Neurospora crassa OR74A: one gene and its partners. The protein of the gene in region 1 interacts with the protein of each later gene in a pairwise test. Links are inferred from orthologs where the notes say so. Each region holds a gene or a part of one and is shown in the gene's direction. Other genes may lie near its edges.

Evidence for each region.
Region 2: the proteins of pph-3 (region 1) and NCU07885 interact in binary tests that used the Saccharomyces cerevisiae proteins (3 or more experiments, as listed by UniProt). The link is inferred for Neurospora crassa OR74A from reciprocal best matches to the Saccharomyces cerevisiae genes GLC7 and SWD2.
Region 3: the proteins of pph-3 (region 1) and NCU01670 interact in a two-hybrid assay, tested with the Saccharomyces cerevisiae proteins (2 studies listed by BioGRID). The link is inferred for Neurospora crassa OR74A from reciprocal best matches to the Saccharomyces cerevisiae genes GLC7 and YPI1.
Region 4: the proteins of pph-3 (region 1) and NCU08385 interact in binary tests that used the Saccharomyces cerevisiae proteins (3 or more experiments, as listed by UniProt). The link is inferred for Neurospora crassa OR74A from reciprocal best matches to the Saccharomyces cerevisiae genes GLC7 and SDS22.
Region 5: the proteins of pph-3 (region 1) and NCU02036 interact in binary tests that used the Saccharomyces cerevisiae proteins (3 or more experiments, as listed by UniProt). The link is inferred for Neurospora crassa OR74A from reciprocal best matches to the Saccharomyces cerevisiae genes GLC7 and SEN1.

The regions. Positions count from the first base shown.
Region 1 is NC_026503.1:2,384,163-2,390,032, reverse strand, and holds the start of pph-3 (serine/threonine-protein phosphatase PP1), read left to right. Parts: upstream 1-2,546; 5' UTR 2,547-3,509; intron 3,510-3,657; 5' UTR 3,658-3,815; coding exon 3,816-3,995; intron 3,996-4,098; coding exon 4,099-4,500; intron 4,501-4,580; coding exon 4,581-4,880; intron 4,881-4,942; coding exon 4,943-4,971; intron 4,972-5,060; coding exon 5,061-5,076; 3' UTR 5,077-5,870.
Region 2 is NC_026503.1:1,231,975-1,237,484, forward strand, and holds NCU07885 (WD repeat containing protein 82), read left to right. Parts: upstream 1-1,866; 5' UTR 1,867-1,993; coding exon 1,994-2,363; intron 2,364-2,426; coding exon 2,427-3,190; 3' UTR 3,191-3,836; downstream 3,837-5,510. Other genes in the region: NCU07884 (mitochondrial oxaloacetate transporter), read right to left, coding at 1-584, 702-718; NCU07886 (hypothetical protein), read left to right, coding at 4,364-4,435, 4,547-5,068. UniProt on the Saccharomyces cerevisiae protein: The COMPASS (Set1C) complex specifically mono-, di- and trimethylates histone H3 to form H3K4me1/2/3, which subsequently plays a role in telomere length maintenance and transcription elongation regulation. Involved in mediating RNA polymerase II termination.
Region 3 is NC_026502.1:2,747,850-2,753,371, forward strand, and holds NCU01670 (type 1 phosphatase regulator ypi-1), read left to right. Parts: upstream 1-2,765; 5' UTR 2,766-3,437; coding exon 3,438-3,633; intron 3,634-3,749; coding exon 3,750-4,114; 3' UTR 4,115-4,500; downstream 4,501-5,522. Other genes in the region: NCU01672 (DUF726 domain-containing protein), read right to left, coding at 1-63, 138-912; prm-3 (S-adenosylmethionine-dependent methyltransferase superfamily domain-containing protein), read right to left, coding at 4,574-5,522.
Region 4 is NC_026501.1:5,513,907-5,519,691, forward strand, and holds NCU08385 (protein phosphatase PP1 regulatory subunit sds22), read left to right. Parts: upstream 1-2,667; 5' UTR 2,668-2,936; coding exon 2,937-3,195; intron 3,196-3,316; coding exon 3,317-4,198; intron 4,199-4,262; coding exon 4,263-4,279; 3' UTR 4,280-4,742; downstream 4,743-5,785. Other genes in the region: NCU08386 (hypothetical protein), read right to left, coding at 455-1,056, 1,124-1,460, 1,522-1,560; xr (xylose reductase), read right to left, coding at 5,188-5,223, 5,340-5,785. UniProt on the Saccharomyces cerevisiae protein: Regulator of the mitotic function of yeast type 1 protein phosphatase.
Region 5 is NC_026501.1:1,604,398-1,610,472, reverse strand, and holds the start of NCU02036 (tRNA-splicing endonuclease), read left to right. Parts: upstream 1-2,776; 5' UTR 2,777-3,322; coding exon 3,323-3,705; intron 3,706-3,772; coding exon 3,773-6,075. Other genes in the region: NCU02035 (helix-hairpin-helix domain-containing protein), read left to right, coding at 594-792, 847-2,366. UniProt on the Saccharomyces cerevisiae protein: ATP-dependent 5'->3' DNA/RNA helicase required for the expression and maturation of diverse classes of non-protein-coding RNAs like precursor tRNAs, rRNAs and small nuclear (snRNA) and nucleolar (snoRNA) RNAs.

The DNA.
Region 1 (5,870 bases):
GGTTCAGCTGGAGATACGGAGGGGCTTTACAAAGGAGGGAGAGAAGGAGAGGAGGGGGGTAGGGCGCGCTCCATACACTTGACTGCGGAGGAGGGGACTCGAGCTGGAGAAGGGGGGGATGGGTGTTGTGGAGGGGGGGGGACGCCTAATGGAGGGGCTGCCCCGCCTTCCGTGGTAACCCAAACAAAGAAAGTCATGCTACTCTGGGCAGTCTAGGCCTTGTACGGTGGAGGGGCAACACGAACGACAACAGAGCTCTTCCGGCCAAGTCGTTTGGATGCAGTGCCTAGTCTTGACCGGTAATTAGGTACTAGAGGGGAAAGGTGTTGACGGGGTGACAAAGCAAAAGAAAATCGAGCTTGGGTGACCCCCATTGATTCGGGCTCGATGGCAAGGCACATAGTCGATCCTCGCTGTAGCAGCAGAACAGCATTGGACACTTGAGGAGCTGCTGCAGTTCGAGCCTCGTGTCTCTTGGATTCCAGAAGCGGACGAGGGGTGCTGTGTTTGACGATATGTACAAGGTCGTCAAATTGGAATTGTCTGGTGGGGCAGACTATGCACTTTGGATGATGAGCTGCGGTTGGAAGACTTCGGGAAGCCAGCCGTTGAAAGGCGTTCGGTTTTTAAAAGACTCGGGGCTGAACGAATGCCCAGACATAGCAAGGATCGTGAGGATCGTTGTTCTGAAGGGAGACCTGTCCGAGCAAATCAGGAGCCGTCCCATCTGACGAAACGGAGTTGTGACCCGGAAAGTCGAGGAGAACGGCAATGAGGTGAAAGTGACAAGGGAGACCTCGACACATTGCTGAAACATTTATTCTGAGGTCCCGCGGGTCCAGGTCTTAGTTCAGGCGCCGTTGGCCCCGAGATAGGTGTAAACCGAAAGTTACCAAAGATATGGGTTCAGACATAGTGGGCGCCTAGTTGTTGGTTTCGTGTGTGTGATATATTGCTATGTCTCGTCATGGCGATAGCCCAAAGCGACCAACCACCACTTCAAGGGATAAAAGGTCGGAGTTTCCATACTCTGATGTTGTTGTGATGGTCGAGTCTCTTCTCATCATATCGCAGACAAGTCCAAGATCTTAGCCGACTTGGACCTATCAGAATTTCTTTCTCCTTGGTGGTGTGGCGATGGTGGTTCAAAGAAAGTCAGTCATGTTGACACTACTCTGTCTGCATGGACAAGGTACCGGATTCTAGCAACCCGGTAATTTTGCCAAAGGGCTTCCTTTTTTGACGGAAACTGGCATTCTTGAGTTACCAGAATCTCAGGTTTTGATATGCAGCTAAGCATCACCTATGACCGCAGAGGACTACCTGGATCTCCAAGATGCCCAAGATTCTCGACAGCCTGACTGAGGCTTTGCGCATTTGCTGTCGAGCTCCCAGTCTCACTGATCTTGCGGATACACGTCGGCGGCTGAGTCGCTCGAATATTTTGCTCGTTGTTGACTGGATATCCGTTGCCTGTCGACCTGTCTTTATACTCCTTCGCTTCGAGCTGTTGTAATCATGCATACCGGGTGCTTGTGCCTGATCTAGGTGTAGGCCATGTAGCCAGGCTGCCCTGCCTATCATTGCGTTTGCGGAACCTGATGCTGATGGTGGGGGGAAACGAGCAAAGAGGACAAAGCCGGAATACCAATGCAAAGTAACAACAAGGCGACCAAGAAGGCATTCCCGTCTTTGCTATTGCCGTGTACATACCAGGTAAGGTGTCACACTCACAGTCCACTATCTCTACACAGGGAGGGGGAAGTTGGAGGGTTGGGAGAGATGGAAGTTCCAGGCGACACCCACCAACGGGATCGCAAGCGGCTTTTAGGCGAGCCAATCCCAGGCCTAGACCTGCCAAGGAGGGTCCGGTGTTCGGGACTCTTGCTAACAGAAGTGCTCGCAGTTGCGGGGGAAGGCAGCGCAGCTCCTACCCAGTCGCGTTAGTGAGCAACATGGACCGACCTATCATCATACCTGCTTCCCCAGAGGCGAGTGCATGCAATTTTTCTCGAGCCAAGTTGGAAGGGCCGCTTCACTGCAACTGGAAAGGGCACAAGGGCTCGGCCAGGATCTGACGGAGATTCAGAGCGGGCGCGAAACCTAGGTAGGTACCTACCTACCTGGCTGGCAACCTAGGTACCAACTACCTAACCTAGCTCACCCAATCTGAGCCTGTCCTTGTTTGGGTTATTTCAGCCGTAGGTAGGTATGTTTGAGTTTAAGTTGAGGGTTGTTCTGGCCTGCCATCGCGTCGGATGTTTCGAGTTTTTTTCGTTCCATGTCACTGAGTGCTGTCCTGTTCATTCCATCGATGTGGATGAGAGCCCAGTCGGCGGAAAAGATCACAACTGCACCGAAACCCGACCCGACCGGACGCCTGTTGTGGTTGTTGTAACGATAACCTGACTGGCAGGCACCGAGGTGACCTGACCTGGGCTTGAAAGAACGCGGACCTGGACCTGGACCTGCCTGCCTACCTCTACCTACTGCTCTCCACTGCTAGTAGGTAGTCTGGAAGCCCTGTGCGTTTCATTAGCTGCGTTGCGTGCGTGTAAATCTTGCTGCTCCATCGGCCCAGTAGCCCAATCCCTTCTCTGCGTCCCCGTCCAGTCCAGTCGCCAGTCTTCTCTACCTACCTACCTCTACCTAGCCCATCGCCCGGCCGGACCCCCCCCCCCCAGCAGCGGGCAGCCCAAGTGGAAGCGTCTGCGCTTGTCCGTCTCCTCCCAAAAGTCTCTAAGCAACCACCACCGACGTTGATTTTTTTCTCCCGACGCTTTCTATCCCAACCAAAACAGGGCGACGTCTTTAACCACAAAGAACGCGCATTTTCAACCCCACCCTGGCGATAGAAGTCCTATTATCATAGGCATCATCTCGCGGTATCTCGTCTTCTGGCCTCCGTCGCTCAATTAGACGCAGCTTTTTCCAGCGACCCTCCGACCGGCCCAGCGCTCTGTACTGCACCTCGCTGCAGCACTTTGCACTCTCCCGGGCAGTCCATCGACCAGTTTTTCCCGACCGTGGTTTTGGCAGTGGCAGTGACAGCCTCTCCCGCAGTCTCAGGACTACTTGAACTCCCCTTCTACACCCGACCTTTTCGAACCCAGATTTTCGACGACGACACGGCGTTTTGCCCCAGCCCCGTCCGCGCGACAAAAAAAAAAAAACACGTTACCTCACAAAGGACGATCAGAGACTTCTGGAGCCGTCTCCTTTTTCCATCATTGCTAACCCTCTTGTCGCCGCGTACTACCGGACCGATTTCTTCGCAATTCCGACGAGATTTGCTTGCGCTTGCTCTAGACCGTTCGCACCTCCGCCAAACCCAGTGACGATTTACTAAAACCAAAGCACAACATTCGGTATCCGAAAGAATACCTATTTCCAGAAAAAAAAAACACCAAAAAAATCACCGCTTGCTGTATTCCCAAGGAGAACGCGTTCGCCTCTCCAAAAAAAAAAAAACCCCCAACAATCGCTTCTTGCTGGGATCGCTTCTGAGCGTAAGTTGATCAACTGCCGTTACATTGCGGCTTCCCAGTCTCTGCCCAGCCGTCGCTCCTCCTTCATTTTCCCGCCATCGCGATCGCGTGCGGCAAACCCCAATCAGAATCTGCGTCGTCATTGGCAATGTCTAACGTCTTGAATTAGTCGTTTAGCTTTGCAGAAGTGCATCTACCCCAGTTTCCTACTCCTTACGCGTGCCGCTCTTTTAGACCCGTCCCATCCGACTAGCTGGGGTTTGTCGGTCGTTACCGTGACTTCGAAAACCTGTGCGCGGTATCTCTCCGGTTGGTGAGGATTTTGCAATGGCGGACCATACCGAAGTCGACCTCGACTCTATAATCGACCGCCTCTTGGAGGTGCGGGGCAGCCGGCCTGGTAAGCAGGTGCAGCTGCTGGAAGCCGAGATTCGCTATCTCTGCACCAAGGCCCGTGAAATCTTCATTTCCCAGCCCATCCTGCTTGAGCTCGAGGCTCCTATCAAGGTAAGCATTGTGTTCTTTCTATTATCCCTTTACATAGCCTCGGCATGCGCCATACTGCCCCTTCGGCAGTGTTCATAGCTGACGTCGTGCCCCACCTCCCTAGATTTGCGGCGATATCCACGGTCAATACTATGATCTCCTCCGCCTCTTCGAGTACGGTGGCTTCCCTCCTGAGGCCAACTACCTCTTCCTAGGTGACTACGTCGATCGTGGCAAGCAGTCCCTGGAGACCATCTGCCTGCTCCTCGCCTACAAGATCAAGTACCCCGAGAACTTCTTCATCCTTCGTGGCAACCACGAGTGCGCGTCCATCAACCGTATCTATGGTTTCTACGACGAGTGCAAGCGGAGGTACAACATCAAGCTTTGGAAGACCTTCACCGACTGCTTCAACTGCCTACCGATCGCTGCCATTATCGACGAGAAGATTTTCACTATGCACGGTGGTTTGAGCCCGGATCTGAACTCAATGGAGCAGATCCGCCGAGTCATGCGACCAACTGACGTACGTTACACCATTCATGCCCGGGCTTTCCGTTTGCTCAGGCTAGTTGCCGTAACATGAGACACTAACAATAGCGCCAGATTCCTGACTGCGGTCTTCTTTGCGATCTCCTGTGGTCGGATCCCGATAAGGACATTACTGGTTGGAGCGAAAACGATCGTGGTGTTTCCTTCACATTCGGCCCGGATGTCGTTTCTCGCTTCCTCCAAAAACACGACATGGATTTGATCTGCCGTGCTCACCAGGTTGTTGAGGACGGATATGAGTTCTTCTCGAAGCGCCAGCTCGTTACTTTGTTTAGTGCCCCCAACTACTGCGGCGAGTTCGACAACGCTGGTGCTATGATGAGCGTCGACGAAAGTTTGCTCTGCTCTTTCCAGGTATGTTTTTCTGACTTTGGCAAGCTCCGAGACCCTTGCACTCTTGCTAACCCCCTTTGCAGATTCTCAAGCCCGCAGAGAAGAAACAGAAGTACGTTCCCAGTCTCAGATGAAGCAATTCAAGACCCCCAAGAAGCACAAGTAAAGAATTTTCTTACGAACACACCCGTTTTCCTTTAGGTTCGGCCGCCGATAAACGTCTGATACTTTCGCCCGCCCGCAACGAACATGAGTATCTTACCGTCAGCTTGTCTACCGCCGCCATGTTTCCTGATCGCCAGGGCTCCCAGCCATCATCCCGTCTGCCGTCTGTTCCGACCACTTCTTTTGGGGAGGTCCTCGCCCCTCCTGCCGTGCCAACGAAACGAAAGCCACGTCTGCCCGTCCTGTCTCTCCATCCGTCCGGTCTCCACACAACTCGAGAGGGTAGGAAGGAAAGGGAATCTTTTTATATCTCGGGGGATGAATAACGAACGACCTTTTCTTTTTCTTGTCTGGTCACTACTCCTGCTAGGAAAGGTATAGATAAGCAGTGTGTGTCTTGGGGGGAAACTAGTTGTTTTGTGTCGCTTTTCGCCAAAGGCATATGTCATTCCGTCATGGGAGAGTGTATTGAAAATTTGTTCGTTTACATCCGCTCCAGCACTTTCTGACTACGGCATGCTGTGTTTCGCCACTCCGCTATTTTACATTTACGGCTCAGTTTCGAAAGGTATACACGTTGCAGCAGCATCACAACATATCTCCGCTTTAATTTACCAGCTTTTCGGCCTGGTCAAACGACACTTCCGCCTTACCTTCCTACGACTCTCACGACCTAGGCTCTTGTAGTTACCAAAATGGCCAGGGCACCATCGCAGAGGTAAAGCTACGAACATTGCAAACGGATGAGACGGAGCGCCTTGGTGATACCAGAGAAGAAGCAGATGGGATGAAAGGCGGTGGTTTTCTGCGCTCAGGCCCGATTCTGCCACGCTGGATGGATAGAAA
Region 2 (5,510 bases), about 1.2 Mb from region 1:
CCAACCGCCTCTTCGCAAAGAAGTACGTGGGGAGCTGCACCGAAGATCCAAAGCCCGTCCTGATCATGGCCGCCCCAACACCTCTGTACAACCCCTTCACACCCTCCCCCTTGTAGATTTTCGTCAACCCGTCCCAGGCGTTCTTGTACTGATGCTGCGTGCCGACCGGCAAAAAGGGGCTGTAGCTCTGCAACCTCGTCTTGGCCAAAAAGAAGGGCGACCCCGCCATGGCGCCCATGATGCCACTCGCCGCGCCGGCAAACATGTTGATGCCCAGGTTTTGCGTCTTTGCGTCGTTAAAGAGCGTGGTCGCAAGCGCGTGTCGCATCGGCTCGTAGAACCCCAGGCGGCATCCGTTCAGGAGGATCTGGTAAATGTACGCGCACCCGATACCGCGGTAGATGCCGCCCAGTCCTTCGTTGCGCACGATCACGGAGACACCGTGGATCGGACCCCGGTAGAAGTGAGGGGAGGAGGTAGAGGATTGGAGCTCGCCTTGGAGCTGCATGCGGATCTTGACGGTCTCGAAGGGGTGCGTGGCGGTTACGGCGCCGCAGGCTGCGATGCCGCCGGCTATAAAGGCGCTGTGAGGGAGGGAGGGATGTTAGTCTGGGCTTGGGACCGGGAGGGGGGGGTTTGGGTTGGGTTGGGTTGCGCGCGCGCACTGGGCGCATTGTGAGGAGGGGAAAGGGAGAGCTTACCCTGCTGTTGTTGACATAGTGACGTTAGGGTATCTGTTTTGGGAGAATGTATGGGGAAGAAGGGTGAGGGAGGGGAAAATATCAGGGAGAACTCAAGTCGAGTCCCCAGAGTCTTTGGGTTGATTGCGACGGAGTTGGCGCGCAAAGTCAAAGAAAGGCGCAATGCCGAGTCTTGCCGGTGTTCGGAGAGAGAGAGGGGGGAACACGGGAACTAATTCGGGAGTAGGCCGGGGAAGGCGGGAGTGGATGTCACCGTATCACGGAGAGTAACGACGGCAATGAGGGGATGATCTGGGGAAAGATCAGATCGGTGTATGTACAGGTGTACAACTGAACGAAGTCACAACGAACGACGACGACTGCTTCTTTCTCCAGGAACAGGAAGGAAAGAGAAGACCACCGAGAGCTGTCCGGGAAATTTATTGGAGCTTCAAGGTGGCCTCGCCGGTCAGTCGCCGGGCAGACAAGGGGGTCGAAGTGATCGACTGGGACCAACTCCCGCTTTGGGTCAGGCACGGAAGTTGGTGTCAAGATCCTCCTCCGATGCCGTGGATGGGGGTGGTGCCCAATGGCGACGAGGCGAAGGAGTTGTAAGTGCTGCGGTTTCGGCGCGCGGACAACAGATTAATGTGGAGTTTCTGCGGTATGACAAGGGGGCGTGGCGGGTCGGGCGGCCCAGACGTGGACCCTGAATCAGAACCGGAAATGTCTGGGCCGGGGAACGCTGTCGTTGCTGCGAGGGAGGGTTAGGGCCTAGGCGCGATGGACGGCAACAAGTGTCCGAATCGGAGCTTGATGACAATTTCGAAAAAGACGAAGGTACCGAAAGCTTGGAAGACAGTCATACTGGGACCTCAATTGAGCATCCTACCGTAGTGTGTAACGATTGCCATTTTAGCTTCGTGAACATACACTAGCACCGTTGTCAATTGACTGCTCGGTTTGCGGCCAAATCACCAACGTATCCCAGCGTTGATGGAGTTTGTCCAGCTGTCACTGACATCGATACCTACTTACCCAACTGGTGTCGTTGTCCATGCAGTGACCATGGATCGAAACAAGGGTTAGGGTCTTGGGCCACTGCCAAGCCATTGTATGTACCTTGACGTCGCATTACTGAAGCTCTGTCTCTCCGCCCGGCAGAAACACCAACGCGGTTGACGGATGCTACTAAGTTTTGAACCAAACATCAAATAACTACCATCAATCCGATACTATACAATTTGACCCAATATATTTGCCCCGCCATCTTCTCTGGTTCTAGCCGGTTTCAATACGATCAATCGACCGCAATGTCATCGACACCGATGGACATCGACGAACCCGGCGCGGGAACACCCTCCCTGAACGTTACTCGGTTACTTGGGCCTAATGGGCCCAGTACCTCCAAGATCAGTGAGGTGATCAAGAATTTTAGGCCGACAAAGTTCTTCCAGAGAGACGACGTGAAGGAGGGTAGGCCCCAGCCATACGTTCTATCGATCGACTTTGACGACCCTGGCGAGCTTTGCATGACGTCTGAAAGCGACGAGACCATCCAGATATATAACGTTAGGGAAGGTCGGCATGACAAGAGCTTGCTGAGCAAAAAGTACGGCGTCAAGCATGCGAAGTTTACACATTCCAGCTCGGGCATCATCTATGCGAGCACGAAGCAAAACGGTATGTCACTGGACGCCCTTTCTCCCTTCAATGACTGCTCTTCGCTGACCTGGATCGCCACAGACGCAATCCGCTATCTGGCAACCCACGACAATACGTTTATCCGATATTTCGAAGGCCACGAGGCCTCCGTTACCAACATTGCTCTCCATCCCGGCTCCGATAACTTTCTTTCATGCAGTCTTGACACCACAGTCAGGCTCTGGGACCTCAACAGCAGGAACTGGGTTGCCAAATTCCATCTCACCAATCCCACTTTAGCGGCCTGGGACCCTGCTGGTCTCGTTTTTGCCATCGCCCTACCAGCCAGCGCCAGCATTCTCCTTTACGATTACCGCAACTACGTGAAACCGTTCAAGATCATCGACGTTTTGAAAGAGAAGGGGCCAGCTGATGCGGATGCCGTCTTCAGAGGCTGGACGAAACTCGAGTTCTCCAACGACGGGAAGCATATTCTTCTAGGAACACGGACCGGAGGACACTTCCTCTTTGACGCCATTGACGGGAACCTGAAGGCGTACTTGCGAAAGCCCCAAGGCGGCACCAGACGGCCAGCCCCTGGCGAGGCTGATGGTGGAAGCGGTGCGCTAGAGAGCAGTGGAGACTGTTGCTTTACGCCAGATGGACGATATGTCGTGTCGGGCGCGGCCAAGGACCTGTTGGTTTGGGACACATTGCAAACTCCCAATAACAAGGTTCTGGAACCGAATTTCCTTCCCCAGGAAGGAAAGAAGGAACCAGTCCTTGTGCAGTACAACCCAAGATTCAACATGATTGCCACTGCGGATAAGGAGCTTATGTTTTGGCTGCCGGTCTCCGATTTATAAACGGAGTCTATCGGAAACTGTTGGACCTCACCTCCATGGTCAACCCCACGGAATATGTGGGACCGGGCTTTGCCGGTTCAGCGCAAACGTCCGCTTGAGAAATATGAATTGGCGACGTTTATCTGGGCCGAAGTCGATGATCAAGAGTTCTAAAATAACTTTTCATTATTTCTGGACACCGATCGCTTCGTGGTTGTGGGGGCGTTGTCCCCATTGTGGCGCCGGGATACTTGGAGAGTTCCCCAAAAGCCGCACGCACGAGGAAGGGGGTTGTGGCTCAAACTGCACAGGACCCATGCCGCGATGTACGAAGGTCTTGGATGGTATCCTGTTGCTACATCAGGGCAGAGCAGAAGAGCGTCGTGGTAAGAGAACATGAGAGACGCCGGGAACAAAAGAAGATTTTGATGCACTGTACATGAGATACCCATTTTGCATTATTCGCCGGCGTATGGGAGTAGTTAGCATGCTTCAAAGGGTTCAGGTCGCGAGGCAAGTGGTCTGGAAGGCTGATTTAACCAGGCTCGTAGGAGGAGATGGAAAGGAATGGTCAAGATGAACAGCATGTAATGGTTGATCAAGTTGATTTTCACTGAGGGGATGATAGGCATTAGCAAATAGAGGAAGCTCAATATTGTTTACTGTCCATAAAGAATCTGACCATCAGGTAGTCTTGATGAAGGTTGAGTTCAATACCACCCTGAATCCCATATGTCAGGCCTTGGACGACGGGAGCTTAAAGTAAACACATCCCCTGTTGCCCCCTGTCATTAGAGGTATGCCCCGCATTTGAGCTGGATGGGACCGCGGTGAACCCCACCAATGCAACACCCGTTTCAGCGTGCAAGCAGAGAGCTCACCGAAACCGTGGCACCAAAACTTCCCGGGGAAGCGACAAGGTGAACCCACATCATCCTTACCTCCAACATATCACGTCGCCTTGACGCCTTCGCATTTATCCCAAGTCACCAACCGCCGCTGCGCGCCACATTCCCAAACCGCCAGCCGACACCAATTATCACAAAATAACCATTCGGGTACCGAATATCCTAATCAGTGCACGAAGAGTACAAACGAAGCGATCACTACTTCGACGGAACAATCCAGTCGCACGGCACGCGACCACTGTCCCATCACACGTCGTCGTCTAGAGCACAATTCGGCGATAATAAGATGCCATACTACGAAAAGTCAGAGGACTGGCTTCACCAGTCTGCTTTGCTGTTGCAGGCTAGGCCTCAGACTGTATGTGTTTCCTCCCTTCATTCTCTCCGCCCTCCAATCATTACAGCGTAGTAGCTATGAGCTATCTATCTAAACTTCTCGCCCATGCTAACATGCAAATCCAACAATCAGACCCGAGTAACAACCTCGTACTCCCTCCGCCCCGCCATCCGCCCTTCTAAAGCCGAGAAGCTCGCGGCAAAGGAAGCTCGTCGCGCCAAAGAGAAAAAAGAAACCAGCAGCAGCAGCAGCAGCAGCAAAAAGACAACAGAAGGAGAAGAACCCCCCAAGGATGCGGCGGCAGCGGCGGCGGCGGCAAAACCACCCCGAGGCCATCTGGTCCTCAAGACCTTTGACCCGCACTCGGGCGTATGCCTGAAATACAAGACGTCCAAAGCCGCCGAGGTGGGTCGGTTGATTCAGATGCTGGGACAATTGGGGAGGAGGATGGCTGCGCTGCCTGTGGACGAGGCCAAGGAGTCGGCAGACGTGGTGATGGCTGATGCGGCTGCTGCTGCTGCTGCTGCGGCGGAGGAGGGTGCTGCGGCGGCGGCGGTTAGTGGGACTGCTACGCCTGTTGCGGGTGCGAGTACGCCTGCGCCTGCGGCAGGAGGCGGTGGACAGGGAAAGAAGAAGAAGAAGGGGAAGAGGTGAATTTTGAGAGGGCGCTGTGTATAAGTGAGAAGGGGACGAACGCGCGGATCGGGGGGCTGAGCAGGAAAAATGCCATGATAATAAAGGGTGGGTAGAACCAAGTGAATGAAGCAAGCGTTTAACATTTTTTTGTGGAAACATTTGTGTCAAGTGAAGTCTACCTTGGTTGCGCATCGGCGAACGGGTCACGTCAGGCGTCATGGTCACTACAAGTTCACGCCGATACGAATTCGCTGATGTCTATAATTCAATTGCCATGTCGTGTGGAGAGACCGAACTCTGCCCATACATGTAGAAGCTACTGCCTAGGAAGCTTCTTTTCTTTTTGTTTATCAATAATCGACCATCTTCTCATTCAAGTTACAGCCCAGTTGTATGTACAAGATAGCTTGATCAAATCAGCCATGATCTTGAGTCCCAATAAACGCCTCTAACTCCGCCC
Region 3 (5,522 bases), on another chromosome or scaffold:
ACGGGATCGGTGGGTAGAGCTGCATCAGAACAGGGTCGGACTCAATGTTGGAGGTTGAAACTCCTGTCATGGAATTAGCAGCCGTCACACTATCTCTATATACGTGTCCCTGGTCACTAGGTGGAGTAAGTACTCACCGTTAGGCCTGTTCCTGCCTCGTCTGCTGTTTGGCACCGTGGAGTTGAAGTTGGCATCTCCAGCCCGCTTGACTGAGATGTCACCCATTCTCTTATGTACCGCTGTCTGCCATTTCTTGAAGTGCAGCATGGCTTCCTTCTTCAATTCCTGAAGGTAGGGCCCGATTGTCTTGTCATTGTCCTGTTCAGGGGCGCGTTGGATATTCAGGTTAGATGGGTTAGCTGGCTGCAGTGCAGCACCCGAGCTGTTTTTGGTGTCTCGAGCCATGTTTCCATTTTCCTTTTGGCTCCTTGAGGTCTTACCCTTAGTGCGCTTCTTGGGGTTCAGGAGCTGCGTCTCCGCAGGGAGAGGCTTGGTGATGCTGAAATCACGCAAGTGAGCGGGAAGTCCGCTCCAGAACTTGTTACGAACCGAGGGAGCGTCATCGACCAGACCGGCTGAGTCGTAAACATGGGAAAAGTGCTTCTGCATAACATCGGTGGTTCTGGTAATGAGTGAAGTTAAGTCGTTCTTTTCCTGGGGTGACAATAGAGTGCTGAAGTCAGCCTCCCGCTTCGGGGGATTATGTCTTGGTCTGCCGCCGGGAGGCATATCGGCGATGGTACTGTCGTCAGAAGCTGTGTGGGAGAGGGTCGGTGAAGTTGGCGATGCTGCTTCGGCAGCGTCCTTGGGAGAAGGCAAGCTGGGAGGAATTGGGTTACAAGTCTTGAGGCCCAGGGCCTTTGAAGAGCGCACCGTGACCGCTGGCGCGGGAGCGTTCTTGAGTGCCGCCATGATCAATTAGGAAGGCGACAAGGCGCAATGATTGATTGCTCTTTCTGTTGTTGATTCTGGCACCTCAGTCCCCGCCCTACCTTGGGGTGGATAGGTCACAGTAGAGGTGATTGCCCTGACCAATTGGTACAGCGCAGTAAACCGGAGTGTACTAGTTGCGGTGGTGTGGCGAAGAGACGGACCGTATGAGTGTATTGTCTCCGTCAGAAGGGAATGGAGACTGCAGTGCGCAACCAGAATTGCAACTGGAAGGTGTGGGCAATGGGTGATTGCCAGCTGAGGGTGGAGTGAGTCCAGTCGCCTTGTGGTCTGGCAGATCTTTGTGACAGGTGACTTCCCAGCCTGTTGAGTTCGCTCTCAGATTATGCTTCCCCGCTAGGAAAGATAGAGGGAAAGAGCGATGGTCATTCTGTCTCGAATTGTTTGCTGTCTTGGGGGGGGGGGGGGGGGGGCAGGCAGTTGTACTGCGGTACCACGATGATGTTCGCTTAGGCTAACCTTGACGTTACAGGAGCCAGCCAGACTGTCACGAGGCCACGAAAGAGTGTCGTTCCTGCGGGTTTTTAGGCTGGATGACCAGGCACGGGTATGTCGAATATTATGATCAGAGAATGCGGTCGCGCCAGGCGGTGTGGAGGGGAAACAGACAGAGGAAGGAAGAAAGGCCGAGAGGTCGGGCGTTGTTGTAGATAAAGTAAGATGGATTCTATGGGAAAGGGTCCTGGTCCCAAGCCGGGGGCGGGGATGCAAGGTGGGTGGGTGCAGAAGGGACCTGGGATATACAGAGATTCGTTGGTCGGGAAGGCCGCTGGGGATCGTAAAGGTCCATGGACGGAAAGAAAGAGCAGGAAAGGGCAGAGAAAGGCAGTCCACGCAGTGAAGGGCAGCTCAGTTAAGGGCAGGCAAAAGCAGGATCCCGGTGGAAGCTGGGAGTGTTCTACGCGTGGGCCGACTGCCGGAAGCTTTGCCAACAGCAAAAGGACGGCAATGAGGACCAGTGGTGTTTGGCAAGCATCGAAACTCCCGTTGTGTGACGCGGGAGAGGCGGGGTGTTTGGTGGTGGTCTAGTTCTGAGGCAGCACAACGTCCAAAGAGGTTCACAACCTAAGCTCAAGGATCACGGACATAAGATCATTCCATTGTGCTGCCATACCAGCTGCTGAACACGAACATCCAAGTGGCATTCAAGGTGAGAAGGGTTCGCAAGCTTGACTATAGGCTGCAGTGGGCTGGACCGGCACCGCTCTCTATTGTTGAGTTGCTATGGCACGCAAGCCTAGCCGCGTGAATGAGAAAACGCACCGCGGAGCTGAGGACTAACTGAGCAAGCCTTGATGGATATAAAAAGGACACTAAAGAATATGTGCTACCCTTTGGTACGGCCTCAGTCGTCAGTCAACATCCAAACCTCCCATCCTCAGCCTTTGACATGTAAGTGGAAGCGGACGCAATTGCCCGAAGACCAACGAAAAACTTCAAAGGCCCATCACGCACATGTAGTTAAAGCATATGCCATGGACATATGGACACCCAACAAACTATTTTGTTTGTTTGCAGCGGTCCCTTCCCGATCATACAATGAGGCTCAAATCAGGGGTGTTGTTGGAACTTTGGTTCAGGGTTGAAGCAACTTGAATGATCTGCCTTCAGGGTTGTGAGGGAGAACAGTGCGGACGCTTGCGCTCGACCTATCAGGGGACCCTTGTCAATTCGACTTCCTTCCCGCAGGCGATCTTCGCCCCACCTTTTGATTGGGTGCCCTGCATTGACTCTTGGGCTTTTATTTTGGCAGAGGAATGTGGAAGGTGGAATGACGAAGGGAAGCGGGGACGTGGGGGAAACGGGAAGAGTACTGCGTACATAGCGCCAAAACCGAAAACCTTCAGCGGCTGCGATTCTTCCGTCATCAAAGGTTGCTCTAACGGCCATCGACCCACACTACACCGAGGCGTGTTAAGTAACGTGTCCCACACTGAATGCACCACACCTACCTCTAGGTATACTACGTACTACACCCAACACACCTTCAAGTTCGTTCGTCTTCGGCCTACGGTATTCAAGTCTAGAAGGTACTGCAACCTGCCGACCAATACCCATTGCGCGACGGGTCAAGGGAGACAGACAGGCCGAGAGCTAGCTTTCAGATCGAGATAACAGAACAGCCTGGAACCCCGCGACAAGAGTCGCATGAAAATTCCAGTTCCTGCCAGGCACGCTCCTCGTCAGCAGCGGCGATCACACAAACTTCCCCAGACTCCGTCAGACCGCAATTTTTGTCGCATGACCGGACGGCCTTCAAACGACGATCACCTAACTCTTTTCTCGAACAGACCACACCACCCTTGAAACCGCGCCTTTGTAGAGAAGAAAAGAAAAAAAAAGAAGAAGAAGAAAAGAAGCGCTCCCAAAACCTCATCTTCTCCCGGACCCGACTACCTCTACGACTACCTACCGCATACATACAACCACCCGTTCAAACACATACGTCCCAAAAACACAACAGCAAACTTTGATACAATCACACAATGACCTCCGTCGCCCAACGGCAAGCGCAGCCTGCGCAACCGTCCACCAGCCAAACCGCTGCCCCAACCCGAACCCAAACCGAGACCTCTTCTCCGGCCATCTTGCGACTTCGCGGCGCACACTCGAACGGGCGATCTGTACAATGGCGTAGCGATGTCGTTGACAACGAAGGTCTCGGCAGGAAGAAGTCCAAAGGTTAGTTGATTTGGGTTCTCCATCTGCCCCCCCACTCTTCAATTACCTTGCGCGCATACATACACACTCTGACAAATACATATGCTAACACCACCGGCGTGCCATGAACAAAACAGTCTGCTGCATCTACCACCGACCAAAAGGCGTAGACGAGTCCAGTGACGATTCTTCTTCTTCCTCCGACTCTTCATCCTCCTCCGATTCCGACTCGGACCCAGAACCTGACCAAGATAAACGAATCACATCCGGCGGTGGTAGTAGTGGCAGGGGCCACCGGCATTCCCATGATCATGACCATGATGGCCGGGAGGGTGGTTGTAACCACGACCATGGACGTGGGAGGAAACACGGCAATAAAGGAAAGAAGACGGAAAGGAGGCCGAGCCCAAATGCGTATGAGAAAATGCCCAAGTATAAGCCGAAGGATGGAGGGGCTGGGCCTTCGAATTCAGAGACGCAAGGTCCTGGGGGAAGTAAATGATGCAGGGAACAACACGAACGTATGTTCGAAAGTCGAATTTCTTTTTGGGGGCAATTGTTAGATACCATGGGAAGAAAAAATATGAGCACGAAGGCTGGGTTTGTCTTGGTTTTGGCTTTCTGAAGCCATAATGAGCACGTGTATGGGCTGCTTCTCGTTAGATATCATTCTTCGCTAAGTGTCCTTGTTATTGGACTTCACGAGTCAAATAACGATCGATATACACATGTATCTCACTATAGCGGCCTCAGATATTCGAGACATCCAGCAACGCAGAATTGTGCTACTGCATTCTAACAGATTTGCCTATAGACACCATAAGTGACTCTATCTTATGTAACGGCTATACAGAGCTTCCCAATGTTTAAGATCGTACAAGAAATCTAACCCATCCATGTAAAGACAACCCTTCCAGACCTTTTTAGCTCACAGCGCCAGACGCCACTCAACGTTATCCCACTAGTGCAACAGCCAAGTCTGAGTCTGCTCCTTCTCACCCTCGGCAGCCCAAGTAACCCTCAAGTTCAATCCGCGCTCGTGATTCTCGGCGGTGATATACTCAATCTCGCCTGCAATCTTCTTGCCAGGAGCCGGCTTCGTCTCCTTGACCTTGTTCTTGTCCAACAGCATCAGGCCCTGTCGCCAATGGGTAGGCTCACCAAACGGTCCGGTAGTAAACGCCACCCGGGCGTCCTTATCGCCGCCCTTGCCGGCCGTCTCAGCCACCCACTCCTGCGCCTTGGTGTCCAGCTTGATGGACTCGTCGACGCGGTTGCGCGCAAAGAAAACGTCCCACCAGACGAGGAAGCCGTCGTGGCTCTCGGCCTTGTCGTCGAAGGCGCTCTGCCACTTAGCCGTGAACACGAGGTCCTCGACCTTGACGGTGTGGAAATCCAACAACCCGAACGAGGCCGGGGTGCCGCACACGGTCTCGGCGGGACGAACCTCCATCCGGCAATCCTCGTAGATGCCCTTCTGCATCACCTTCATGTCGAAGCCGTACACGTCGCGCCAGAAGTCAACGTACTCGGCAATGTACTCCTGTTCCGACACGGGCGCGATCCACATGTTGCCGTGGCTGGGGACGAGCAGACCTTGGGGAGCCAGGTACTTGTCGCGCGCCCACAAAACGCTGTTGAGCATGGCCTCGTACAGCAAGCAGTAGCCCATCCACTCGGACACAATGATGTCGACCTTCTCGACGGGGAGGATCACCTCCTCGATGCGGCCCTTGAGGGTAACAATCACGTCCGAAAGCCCGTTGGCGTAAATGTTCTCGCGCGCCTTGTCGATGATTTCCGAGCGGTCGACGGCGATAACCTGCTTCGCACCCGCCTTGGCGCAGAACATGGACAGGATACCCGTGCCGCAGCCAATGTCGAGGACGACCTTGCCGGCGAAGAGGTCC
Region 4 (5,785 bases), on another chromosome or scaffold:
GCGTCAGCTACGCATCGACTTGTTTAAGCACATGTTTCCACACGGGAAGCCCAATACGCATCTCTCTCGCTGGACAGTCCAAGTCGTCAAAAGATCTCGCCCATTCGAAAGCCCCGAGATGAGAGCCTCAATTCCTATTGCGATAACCCCGCCATGTCCTAGGGTACGCAATAGCTTTGTACCACGCCAGCATCAGAGTCTCTGCGCCTCCGTAATGTGATGCAAAGGACGACATTGGTCCCAAGTTGCTTCGCCTGCACGGCACCTCCCAGTGAAAACGGCCGGCGTCTGCGTTTGCCTTCTTCCCTCGCAGTGCTCACTCTCTCCCATCTGGCCCCGCCGTTACCACACTTGTCCATAGCCAGCTCCGCAGCTATGGACGAGCAATTGTGCGGTCCATGTCCGCCAGACCGGTGTTTGGATGTCTGCCGCTACGCGGTTGATGTCTGCAGTCTCAGCCGACATCTAATGTTTTCTGGGTCAGTCGCACAATGCCAAGGGCAGCTAGTCTCTTGCCTTCGACTCTCATGATGGCATCGCTGTGAAACGCCGCCGGAGACTTGACCCGTTCAACCGGCAAGCCTAGGTCCTGGCATTTTTCGAGCAGACGCTCGGCATGTTCTGGGGGAACTAACTCGTCTCTTTCGGCCTCAAGGATGTACATACTTGGCGGCGGACTTCCCTTTTCCCTCGCGGCCTGGGCAATGGTTTCCATGTTTGTCCAACTATCCAAATGATTGCGTAAGAACGGCCAAAGGTGTTTGTATGGAAGCCACTTTTGAGGGTAGAGCGTCTCCAACATGGTCCTGACCGACAAGAACGGGGTCTCGAGGAGCAAGCCTCGGACTGACAAATTCTGTGGAATCTTGCCTGTCGCAGCAAGGTTGGTGGCCACACCGCAACCGATGCTTTGTCCCCAGAGCAGAAGAATGGGTAGAGGAGCATCCCTGTCTGGTCCGTACAGTTGTTTATGGTATTCGGAAATCCAGCGTGCACCGGCTTCAGCATCTCGCCTGAGACCAGCTTCCGAGGGCCGGCCCCGGGATGTCCAATAACCTCTGTAACTTAGGCAAACAAAAGTCATCTGTAGAGGTGCCAGGTCCGGGTTGTGGCTGTTACTGACGTTTCGAAGCACCCATGACAGATCCGGCAATCGTGGCGGTATCGAAGCGGCGTTTCCTAGGTGCCCATATCAGCTGCGAGTCCCGGAACGACACGTTGATATGAGGAACCAAACCTTGAAAGTAGAGAACATATACATGGGCCCTCGCATCCTTCTTATCTGTAGGGAACTTTCCCTTTTGCATCGGGACGGTTGTAACGGCCATTGCCAGGTCTGTCCCGTCCGCCGCTTGAATCCTTTCATTCGTCCACTTAATTCCACCGCAGTGGTTAGCGTAGTTGTCGATGAGCTCCCATCGTGAGTTGGGAGGGAATCCAGGCATATATATGATCTTGTTCTGGAACACAACTAGCATCATGCACTTCCACACGTATAAAGCAACCAGAAGCCCCACGAACACGACTGGCGGCATCAGCACCGCCGGGATGTGAATGCATTTCGCAGTGCGGCCGCTGCCACTAACGACGGAAAATGTGCTCGGCTTGAATGTCAGGGGAACGATCAGAGACCTCGCGGCAGTGACCCCATATCGTGAACCTCTGATGTAGGTACTACCGTGACGACAGCTCGAAAGTGAAGAGATTGCACGAAGTTGTTCCAACCGGGCCCTTGAGGCGGACACGAGACAGCGAGAAACCATTGGGGGAAACTTATGAGACAATGGCACTTGTCTCACCCGAGCAAACTGCAGGATTTTCCGCAGCTCGTTTCCATTGCATAATCTCGTGTTCAGCTGCCACTTGTTGATTACTCTTCAGTCTCCTGCAAGGTGTTCTGCACATACACCTCCACAACTTCCTTTCGAATCGGAGATTGCTGGCCAGGTTGGGTGGCGCACTCGAGTCGACAGGAGTTCCAGTGGAACAAGTTCCAGACAATCCGAGGTTGGCGCTCTGTGATTCACCCAAAATGCCTCGATAATGTACTGTATGAACCGGTGAGGCAGCAAAGAATGTAATTTGTTCGAAAGAGCGGTTCCAGGCCTTCCGAGGCTTTTTGAAGCCTTCACTCTTCGAGATGATCGGGCTCAGTATTGGAGAATCTCTTTTGAAGATTGACCGATATGATCCATAGACATGAAATCGAAGCGGCAATGACAGTGAGCGCCGTCGATATCGAGGATGGTAAACGTCGGTTGAGGTCGGTCGGGTCTTGATCGATGGTGATGCGGGTGTTGGTAGACGGCCTCGGGATGCCCTGATGCCCTTTCCGTTAAGAGTCTAACAGGACCCCTGTACGACCAACCCTTTCCAGTCTGCCCCCCAACAAGGCAGGCCCTGGCGTTGCACGGTGCACCCACTGATGTGATCCCCGCATTTGTCCGCCTCAGGGGACCAACCAAGGGGACTAGCGCATGACGGGACATCCCAGCGGGTGGTTGGAATTGGTCCATGACCATGACGATATTCCAACTGAAGACTGGAGAACCAACCTAAGCGACCCCTCATTTTCTGTAGATGCGACTTCCATTCGTTTGATAATCAGGAAGTGATAAAAAAAAAAAGTCGGGAGATTCTCCTTCTCATCACATAAATGATAAGTCACTGTATTTGTCCAATAAATACTACCAACCACTGATTACCAGCGCGCCACCGCTTCCGACTGCGCCATTAACTGATCAACACTGCCTTGAGTATTGCGATAGTATCGATCCCTGTGCTCGTCGGTACTCTTTTTTCTTTTTCTTTTTCCTGTTTCTTTTTTTTTTTTTTACCTTTGGACGCTTTTCAGCACGACCACGACCATTCCGCGACTTTGCGCAACGCTCGAGAGCAGGCACCAACTACCTACCCGCCCAAATACTACCACAACCATGCCGGCTCCCATTGAAGAAGGCAGCAACACACCGGGTCGCCAGTCGCCCGGCCACCATATTGAGCTGGTCGACGACCATCCTTCACCACGACACGAGGGCGAAGCAGGAAGCCCCGCTCTCAGAGATAGCAAAGGCTGGGACGGGAAGCTGCGGGTACCAAAGAGTGCTGTGCTCACAAATCCCGAAGCCTTGTCGGATCCGGAATACTCGGACGATGACAACGTTGTTCCTGGCGAGGAGGTTGCAGCGGATGAAGGCAAGCAATTCGAGTGCGCTCAAACACGGACACTAGGCCTTTTACATGTCTAAACGATAGTGAAAATGACTCGGTGGTAACGAACCTCTGGCTAACCATGTCCGGCTCGTTTGGTTTACAGATCTCCTCGACAACGAGCCCCTCGATACCGATGAGATCATTTGCACCCACTCCCGCATTCAGTCCATCTCAGCATTGCGTCTTGAGCGCTTCAAACAAGTTGCCCGCATTTGCCTTCGCCAAAACCTGATCCAAGATATCGAAGGCCTCGCCGCTGTCGCCGAGACCCTCCAAGATCTTGATCTTTATGACAACCTGATTTCGCACATCGGCCGCGGGCTGACTGACCTCACGAATCTGACCAGTCTGGATCTAAGCTTCAACAAGATAAAGCACATCAAGCACATCAATCACCTGACCAACCTGACAGATCTCTTCTTTGTTTCCAACAAAATCAGCCGCATCGAAGGGTTAGAAGGACTCGACAAGCTGCGCAACCTCGAGCTTGGGTCGAATCGCATTCGCGAATTGCAGAACCTCGACTCGCTCAAGAACCTCGAAGAGCTATGGGTGGCCAAGAACAAGATCACCGAACTCACCGGCCTTGGCGGCCTTCCTAAGCTGCGTCTGCTCAGCATCCAGTCCAATCGGATTCGCGACCTGTCCCCCTTGCGCGAGGTACCCCAGCTTGAGGAACTGTACATTTCGCACAACGCGCTCGAATCGCTCGAAGGGTTGGAGAACAACACCAAGCTGCGGGTGTTGGACATTTCCAACAACAAGATCGCCAGCCTGAAGGGCATCGGTCCCCTCGAGGAGTTGGAGGAGTTGTGGGCGAGCTATAACATGGTCGGCGACTTCGCCGAGGTGGAGCGAGAACTGAAGGACAAGAAGAACCTGACGACGGTGTATTTTGAGGGGAACCCGTTACAGCTCAGAGCGCCGGCATTGTATAGGAACAAGGTCCGGTTGGCGCTGCCGCAGGTGCAGCAGATTGATGCTAGTAAGTTTCAACAGGCATTACTTATGGAAACTCCAGAAGATTTGCTAATTCCCAAATCACGCAGCTTTCGTCCGCGTATGATGTATATGAATGGCGATTTTGGCGGTTTGCAAAGCATAATGATTGTGTAGTCAAAGTTCATGCAGCATGGCACTGGCGTTCATGGTACTACGGCGTTAGATGGGTTGTTGAAGCAAGACAATCGACAACTTGATGTATTCCCAGTAGACTTCGTTACTACTCTCGTCTAGACCCGTTGCCCTTTGCTTTGCATTCTCACCCTCATAATTGCATCCATACTATTTTCATCCGACTTCACCGACAAAAGGACCAACGAACAACTTAGTCCAAACCACCGGGCCATCCAAGAAAGGACGGTCGCGTGCGCCTTTGTGTCGAGGTTGATACATGGAGTGGCTAGTGGCTAGTATTGACTGCTTTTGTACGATGATGATCAGATTCATATAGACGACTTCGACAATCACCACAAACAATACAGAGTCAGCTCATGTCACGAGCAGGGATCGACGAAAAAGAATTTCGAAACAGAAAGATTTGTCAAATCTTGATTTCTATCGCATTCTACCCCATCTATTTCATAGCTGACAGGTTATCAAGCAAACAGGAAATGGCCTAGAGCCGGGAGAGTTGATCTGCCAACAGCCCTTCCCCGGGCCTCAGCAGATAACGACAGTATGCCCCATTATATGTACACATCCCGTCGTTAGGGTACGGTGACCAGCCTTCTCTCTTCGCGGTGTCTCTGATGGTCGGGGTATGGTTATGTTGATGTTTCCATGAGCGTGTGGTGTGCATTGTGTGTGCGGGCCGTGAGAGGTCGTAGCGATCTAGGCGACCATACCAATCACGCGCCCGCGTATACAAAATGCGTTGTGGGTATAATACACATTCAAGGGGTAAAATCAAAAGGTTTTGGAATGGGGGGCGCGAAAGCCAACTTTTCCCCTAAGCTGCGGAAAAAGGTTGACCTAACCGAAAATCCAGAGGTTCTCAGCGGAGAAGTACTGTGAGTTTGCCATGTTAGTCTATACCTTTTATACCATGACATATATATATATATATTCTGACGCCAAGTTTGGGGTGCCGATGAGAGAATGGCAAAAGGAAGTATCAAACTTACGTTGGTGGGCTGGTTGAAGCGGATGCCGCGGTCGAAACCAGAGATGGTCTTGATGTCCTCCTCGGAGAGATCGAAATCAAGAGAGTTGAGGTTGGACTTCATGGTGGCCTCGCGGCTAGACTTGGGGATGATGGCCAGGCCGCGCTGGGTGGCCCAACGGAGGAGGACCTGGGCAGGATCCTTGTTGTACTTGTCACCAATAGCCTTGATGGTGGGGTCCTCGAGGAGAGGCTGGAGCTTCTGGGCGTGCTCCATGTTGAACTCGCGGAAAGAAGCAGGGCCGAAGGAGGAGTAGGCGGTCACGGCGATGCCCTCAGCCTTGGCAAGGTTGAGGAGGTTCTGCTGGACGAGGTAGGGGTGGTGCTCGATCTGGAGAGTGGCGGGGCGGACCTTGGCGTAGCGCAGGAGGTCGTACAGGAGCTGGGCCTGGAAGTTGGAGACGCCAA
Region 5 (6,075 bases), on another chromosome or scaffold:
GAGCTACCAATTTCTTTTTCCATCATCAACTACCTCCCTTTCCATGATGTTTTGACAATTATCAAAACCTTGACTGCCTAGCATTCTGCTGCGGAGAAAAATGTTATCTGAATCTTTGGATATCTCATACCTCGATGTATCACACTTTGCGTTGCTGAACTTCTGCTAACATCGTGCGGTGTTTCAGTCTGTAAAAGTAAAACGCGAAAGCAAGTACACTAGTACTTCTGGGAACTGCTCATCATGGTTGCAAAGATACCCAGCCAATGCCTTTTTTTTTTGCTTTCCCATTACCAAGCCCTTGTCATAGTTAGCAGTCATTCAGTCATGAATAAACACCGGATTACAGATGAACTCTTGATGTCACAGTGCCGATGAAACATTGTTCCTGCACGTTCATCCAGCAGCTTCCTTTTTGCCACTTGGGGAGAGTTGCCCGCTACTTTAACGTGTATCTCCCTGTTTACATTCCACGCCCATTGTTCGCTCCTTTTCAAGCGATCGCTCTTACTCTATACGCACACAATCATTGTTCGTTTTCCTAGCTAGCAAGTGGAACACTACTCACAAAGCAACTTGCGTCGATCGCTGCGATGAGAATTCAAACCCGTTCAGCCGCCAAGAGGCTCAAAGTAAACACCGAGGAACACATCGTGGTTGCGAACCCCCTCCAGAATCCGATCCTTGTTCCAGATCATGTATCTGAGACTATTGTAGCTTCGGTTGAGGCTGAATCCTGGACGAGAGGGAAACGGAAGCGGGGACATGCCACGCCGGCGCATCCTCTCAAAGGTTCGCTCACTTCTTTGCTCTCGATTTCAGCCTGCTAATTAGTTGAGTACATAGGTGGTCGGGATGTCTTGCCTCCTAGCATGGGCGTTCTGCCAACCCCTGGTACAATTCCAGAGACACCAGATTCGCTGAGCAGTTCTTCCAATGCGCCGGTGCATTTAACGCGAAGTGTGGCCAAACGCCAGAGTCAAACTTCGCTCGAAACTACAAAGATTCGGACCGAGGATGTGAAGGCGCAGAAGACGCCGATCAGTATAGGGCCCCTACAAGTGACTAGACCTGATGATATCTCGGTACATCATACCCGAGGTGTGACCGAACGCCGGACCAAGGTTCAGTCCGCCATCATCAAGGATCGGACGAAAGATGCAGCTGCGACAGAAGCTGTAGAGAACATCATGGGCACTTCTCTGGATAACACTATTGAGGTGAACACCCCCAACGACGACGACGACGACGACGACGACGACGACGACGACGACAAAGACGAGGAACACACTGAACGGGATCGACGGGGTACCAGGTCGTCTTCCAAGAGGCCAAATACAGAAACCGACAAAAACCTCGATAGCGGCAATGGACATATTATTGTCAAGACCAGCAAGAAGGCAGCCAAGGTCACCGCCACAAGAATAGCCACCGTGGACCGTGACAGCCCTGACTACAGAATGCCAGTGAGAAGGGGCCCAAATAATCCCATGGGGTTCACGCCAGGGTTCTCACCCTACCCCAATCGTCAGGCTCCTACCTCTGAAGCATGCGAGGATGTGTACCGCGTCTTGGCAACCATGCATGGCAAGGTAGAGCAACCCAAGGAAATACCCAAGGCATCTTTGGAGAAGGCCGGATGTGGCGAGGTACCTTGCGTATTGGACGCCCTCCTCCGGACGCTGATTAGCGGCAACACACTGATGGCCATGGCGGACCGAGCGATCAGGAACGTAGCTCAAGAGTACGGTTTACGAGAACACGGCTCAGGCATCGGAAGCATCAACTGGGAAAAGGTTGCCAGCGAGCCAGAGGAAAAGCTGGCCCAGGCTATCAAGGTTTCGGGGAACGGAAACCAGAAGGCCAAGCATATCAAGCTAATCCTCGACATGGTTGCGTTGGAGATGGCGCAGATGGCAATGGAGAACAAGGGAACGGGCGGTAAGCGAGAAGTCGCCTTCTCAGAGACGTTGAACCTAGACCACATGCACACCGTCACCAAAGACGAGGCCATGGCCAAGCTTGTCCAGTATCCCGGTATTGGCATCAAAAGTGCTGCCTGCGTTACACTCTTTTGTCTTCGCATGCCCTGCTTTGCAGTTGACACGCATGTCCACCGGTTCTGTCGCTGGCTCGGTTGGGTGCCGGAGAAAGCGAATGCTGAGGACTGCTTCAGACACTGCGACGTGAAAGTGCCGGATCACCTCAAGTATGGCTTGCACCAGCTGTTTATCCGCCATGGACAACAATGCTTCAAGTGCCGGAAGGCGACAAGGCCTGGTACGAAGGAGTGGAGGGAGGCACCCGAATGCCCGTTGGAACACCTGCTGGACCGGGGGAAGGGAGGAGACCATGGAGATGGATAGACAGGGAACGCCGGAAAGAGTCGATTTGGAAGTAGTTGGTTTCTTTCCAAAAGCAATAATTTCCAGTCTGACTCTTTGGCCCGCCATAACTTGAGACCCTCTTGATACTGTTGTGACGGATGAAAGCTCCCTAGGCCTTTTGACCTCAATGTTCGAAGATTGGTGATTCATGGAAGAGATGGGGAGTTGGGCGAATCCGTACCATGATATACAAGTATGTAGGAGCTCTCCATCTGGCTACTGGCAACAGCTGCTGAGCAGCTGCCTGTTTCTGACCATCGGACCTGCCTGCCGCGCCCCTCTGCCCCCCCTGCAACTTTTAGCGGCCCCACGCACTTTAGGTCTGACGCGGTTCCTTCTGGATTGACGCGCAACAACAGAACCTAGGTTTCGTTACAGCGTCCATTCCTCTTCCTTTCCCAGGCACTGTGGACGCTGGCTCTGGCATGTCAGAGGAAGCTCCCGTCTGACAGCCGCACCGTCAACTCCAACATACAACAGGAGAACCTTCACCGATTGCTTGGTGAAAGAAGAACGGAGTCAGACTCCTTCACTGGCCTGGAACATAAAACCCCACGAGCGCGGATTTCTCTTCTGTCCTATTGGTATACAATTTTCCTCCAACCCTTTGTCTGTGGGTGCAAGCGATACCCGCACATCCATCGCCATCTCGGCCTTTGCCCTCCGACAAAGCATCACTGCTCGTCCTCGGTTGCCTGGAGCATCTTGCTTCAACTATTCTTGTCATTCTTTTGCCGCACAAGTTGTTCCTCTAGCATATCTGTCGCTCACCTCGAAAGCTTCTTGTCGATGCAAAGGCTTCTCTAAACCATTCCGTCTGCTTTGCGCTGAAGGTTGCTTCTTGCGACCATCGAAGCGCAACCCACTTCGCCCTCCAAGCTCCGTCAGCCTAGACAACCACCAGAAGCCATCACGTTCTTGAATCGACCGCCGAGATGTCAGACAAAATGGAATACCCAGAGCTGGGGACCGCGGACGTTCAGATGGCTATGATGGAGATGCATCAAGCCTTTGAAGAGTTTCCTCCAGACGCACATCCAATTTGCCCTTTGCTCAGCGACGATGACGATACGGACTACGCGTTGCCAGACCTCCCCGATGCGAACGGAACAACGGTGGCAGAAAAGCAAAAGCGAATCGCTGACGGGTTCGAGAGACGTAGAATTACCTACGGCCTTTCGCTTCTGTTGGTGATGCCAGAGGCTGGTAAATGGATCAACGAGTGGAAAGAGCGTGTCAACTTCTTTCTCACAAAATGTGACCAATGTGCCAGGACATGGCATAGGACACGCCAGCAATTCATCAGAGCCATTGATCAGTGCGTATTCGCAAAAACCTACTTGGTCCACCGTAGGCCTGGTGACCCCAGCTAATCCGATTTACAGATACACTTCCCGAGACAACGCCGAGCTCTTGCGGAATCTACAGAAAAACCTCGAAGCCTTCGATGAAGAGCGCATCACGCGCGGCCTCAAGAGAGCCAAATTCATCCTTGAGAGGGACGGTCCCATGCCGACTACGAAGCTCGTTAGAATCGAACTTTGGCCGTGTCTCGCCTTGTTCGAATCGCTCTGCTGCATGGCATACTTGAACACCAACAAAGCAAACCTAGAGATATTCAATTACGTATTCGAACATGTCCAGCCTAAGAAGCCGCTGAAGATGGTGGGAGGCGCAATTCCGACCATGACATACTTCCTTTTCGAAGAGTATCCGGTGCACAGGGCGTTTGCAGAGGCACAATGGCAACGGATGCTGCCGGAAAGCCTCACCGATGAGGAGTGGGAATGGGCTGTCAGAAGCGGCCTCAAGTCCCATATACTCGGCCATAGGGGGATACAGCCCCCGGCGCGGCTGTGTCGCTTTTGGAGCGGATTCCTCCTCATTTTGCGAGCTATGAGCGAAAAGAGTATTTTGGAAAACCTCCGCGGTATGGAAGTACAACCGAATGTCTACTTCCTTGCTCTCGAAAACCTCGGCACCAATAACGTCCCTGCTTTGAGCATGATACTGAAAGCACTTCGTACGCTAATGGAGCGTTCGTCAAAGGCTTTCTGGGACGCCTATGACCAAGTCACTCCGAGTATGATTGTGGAGGAAATCTTCAAGAGCCCGGCTTTTCGGCCCTTTTTAAACCAGTCTCTTGAGCCGGACATGATGGTCGAGGACCAGGAAAACAACGGTCAACTAATACCAGCGTTGGCAGAATGGGTCAGGGCCTTTATCCGTTCCCTTCCCTCAGCGCGGCGGTCAGACGTTTGCGAGACTCTTCTTCGGCATCTGTTCGAAACTCTCCGGGTCGACGCAGGCGCAGCCCCAGAAGCGAAGGCCACTTGCATCCTTGCTGGTCTGGTGACCTTGAGAGAATGCTTGGACGGCTACCTCAGCCTTCCATCCTTTGATACAGGAACGTCTCTTATTATGGTCAACCAGTTACTCAACAGAGTGATTCAGTACAAGGAAGTCATCATTGACGCGACCAGGCTCAAGGCCGCGGACAAGTACAACGTTGGCCTCTCACAGGCTGCTATAGCTATCATACAGTCTGCCCTGGCATTGGACGCGAAGGCGACGTTGATGGAGTGGGACGCTTTCGTTAAGGAAAAGCCTGTTCAAGATGCCGTAAACAGGGACTCTGGCGCATTGTGGGAGTCATTCCTCGAGCTCGTCTGGAACGGACAAACAGATCTCGCCAAGGCCATGTTGAGAGCTACGATGCCTCTCAGGAGTATCGAACGGTTTATCCCTAAGCGGAAAGACCAGCTCAAGAACGAGCATGCAAAATTCAACAGACGCTTTCAACAGCAAACGGCGGCAATTGGCAAAATGTTAGGCCGCCTGTCTGACTTCAACCCGGCTGATCTTGACAGTTTCTGCTCGGATCCGCAGAGTAACACCATCCAGCCCATCGTGGCGACTCTAATACACGGTGAGGAAGCCATTCGCGAAGCTGGCTTCGAGTTGATCAAAGCCATCACAGGTGAGATGACGCCATCTGAGGCCGTGAATAAGATGCTTGAGGAGTACTTCAGCCAGTTCCTGGAGGCCTTCACTGGCGCCGTAAACCATATCACCAACGCCAAAGACTCCAATAATCCGTGGAGTCACATGCAACACTTGTTGAAATGCTGTGAATTCGTGCTCAATAGCTTAAGTGATCCGTCTGTAGGTCAACTCAGACGCAAGACCCTGACCCCTGCGGAACATGCTATCGTCAAGGGATGGTGGGATTGCGAATGGAGAGCCGTCGGCCACTCGTTCGGATCCATGAGACTCTGGCACGTGAAGGTGGACAAGAAAGTCATGGAGGACTTTTGTCGTGATGTGATGGAACTTGCAGAGAAGCTCCTCGCCCAAGACGGTCTCATGGCTTCGGCACTTAGCAGTCCTCAAAGCATCTCGGCGACAAACGGTGACGACGGCTCAGAGGGCATGAAGTTGGTCCTGGAGCCGCCGAGAATACACTCGCTTCCCTTAGTGGACATGTTGCAACTCCGCGATAAATATCTTATCGCCGGTATTATCGAAATCACCAAGAAGTTGATCAAGCGTCTGCAAGACAACGGCATGGATCTTCCGCCAAAAACAGTCGCCTATCTCAACAATATGCTGAAGAAGAGGAAGATGACTGATGGGCGAACGGACTACCCCATAAAGACGAATCTCACCAACGAGCAACGGATCGAGC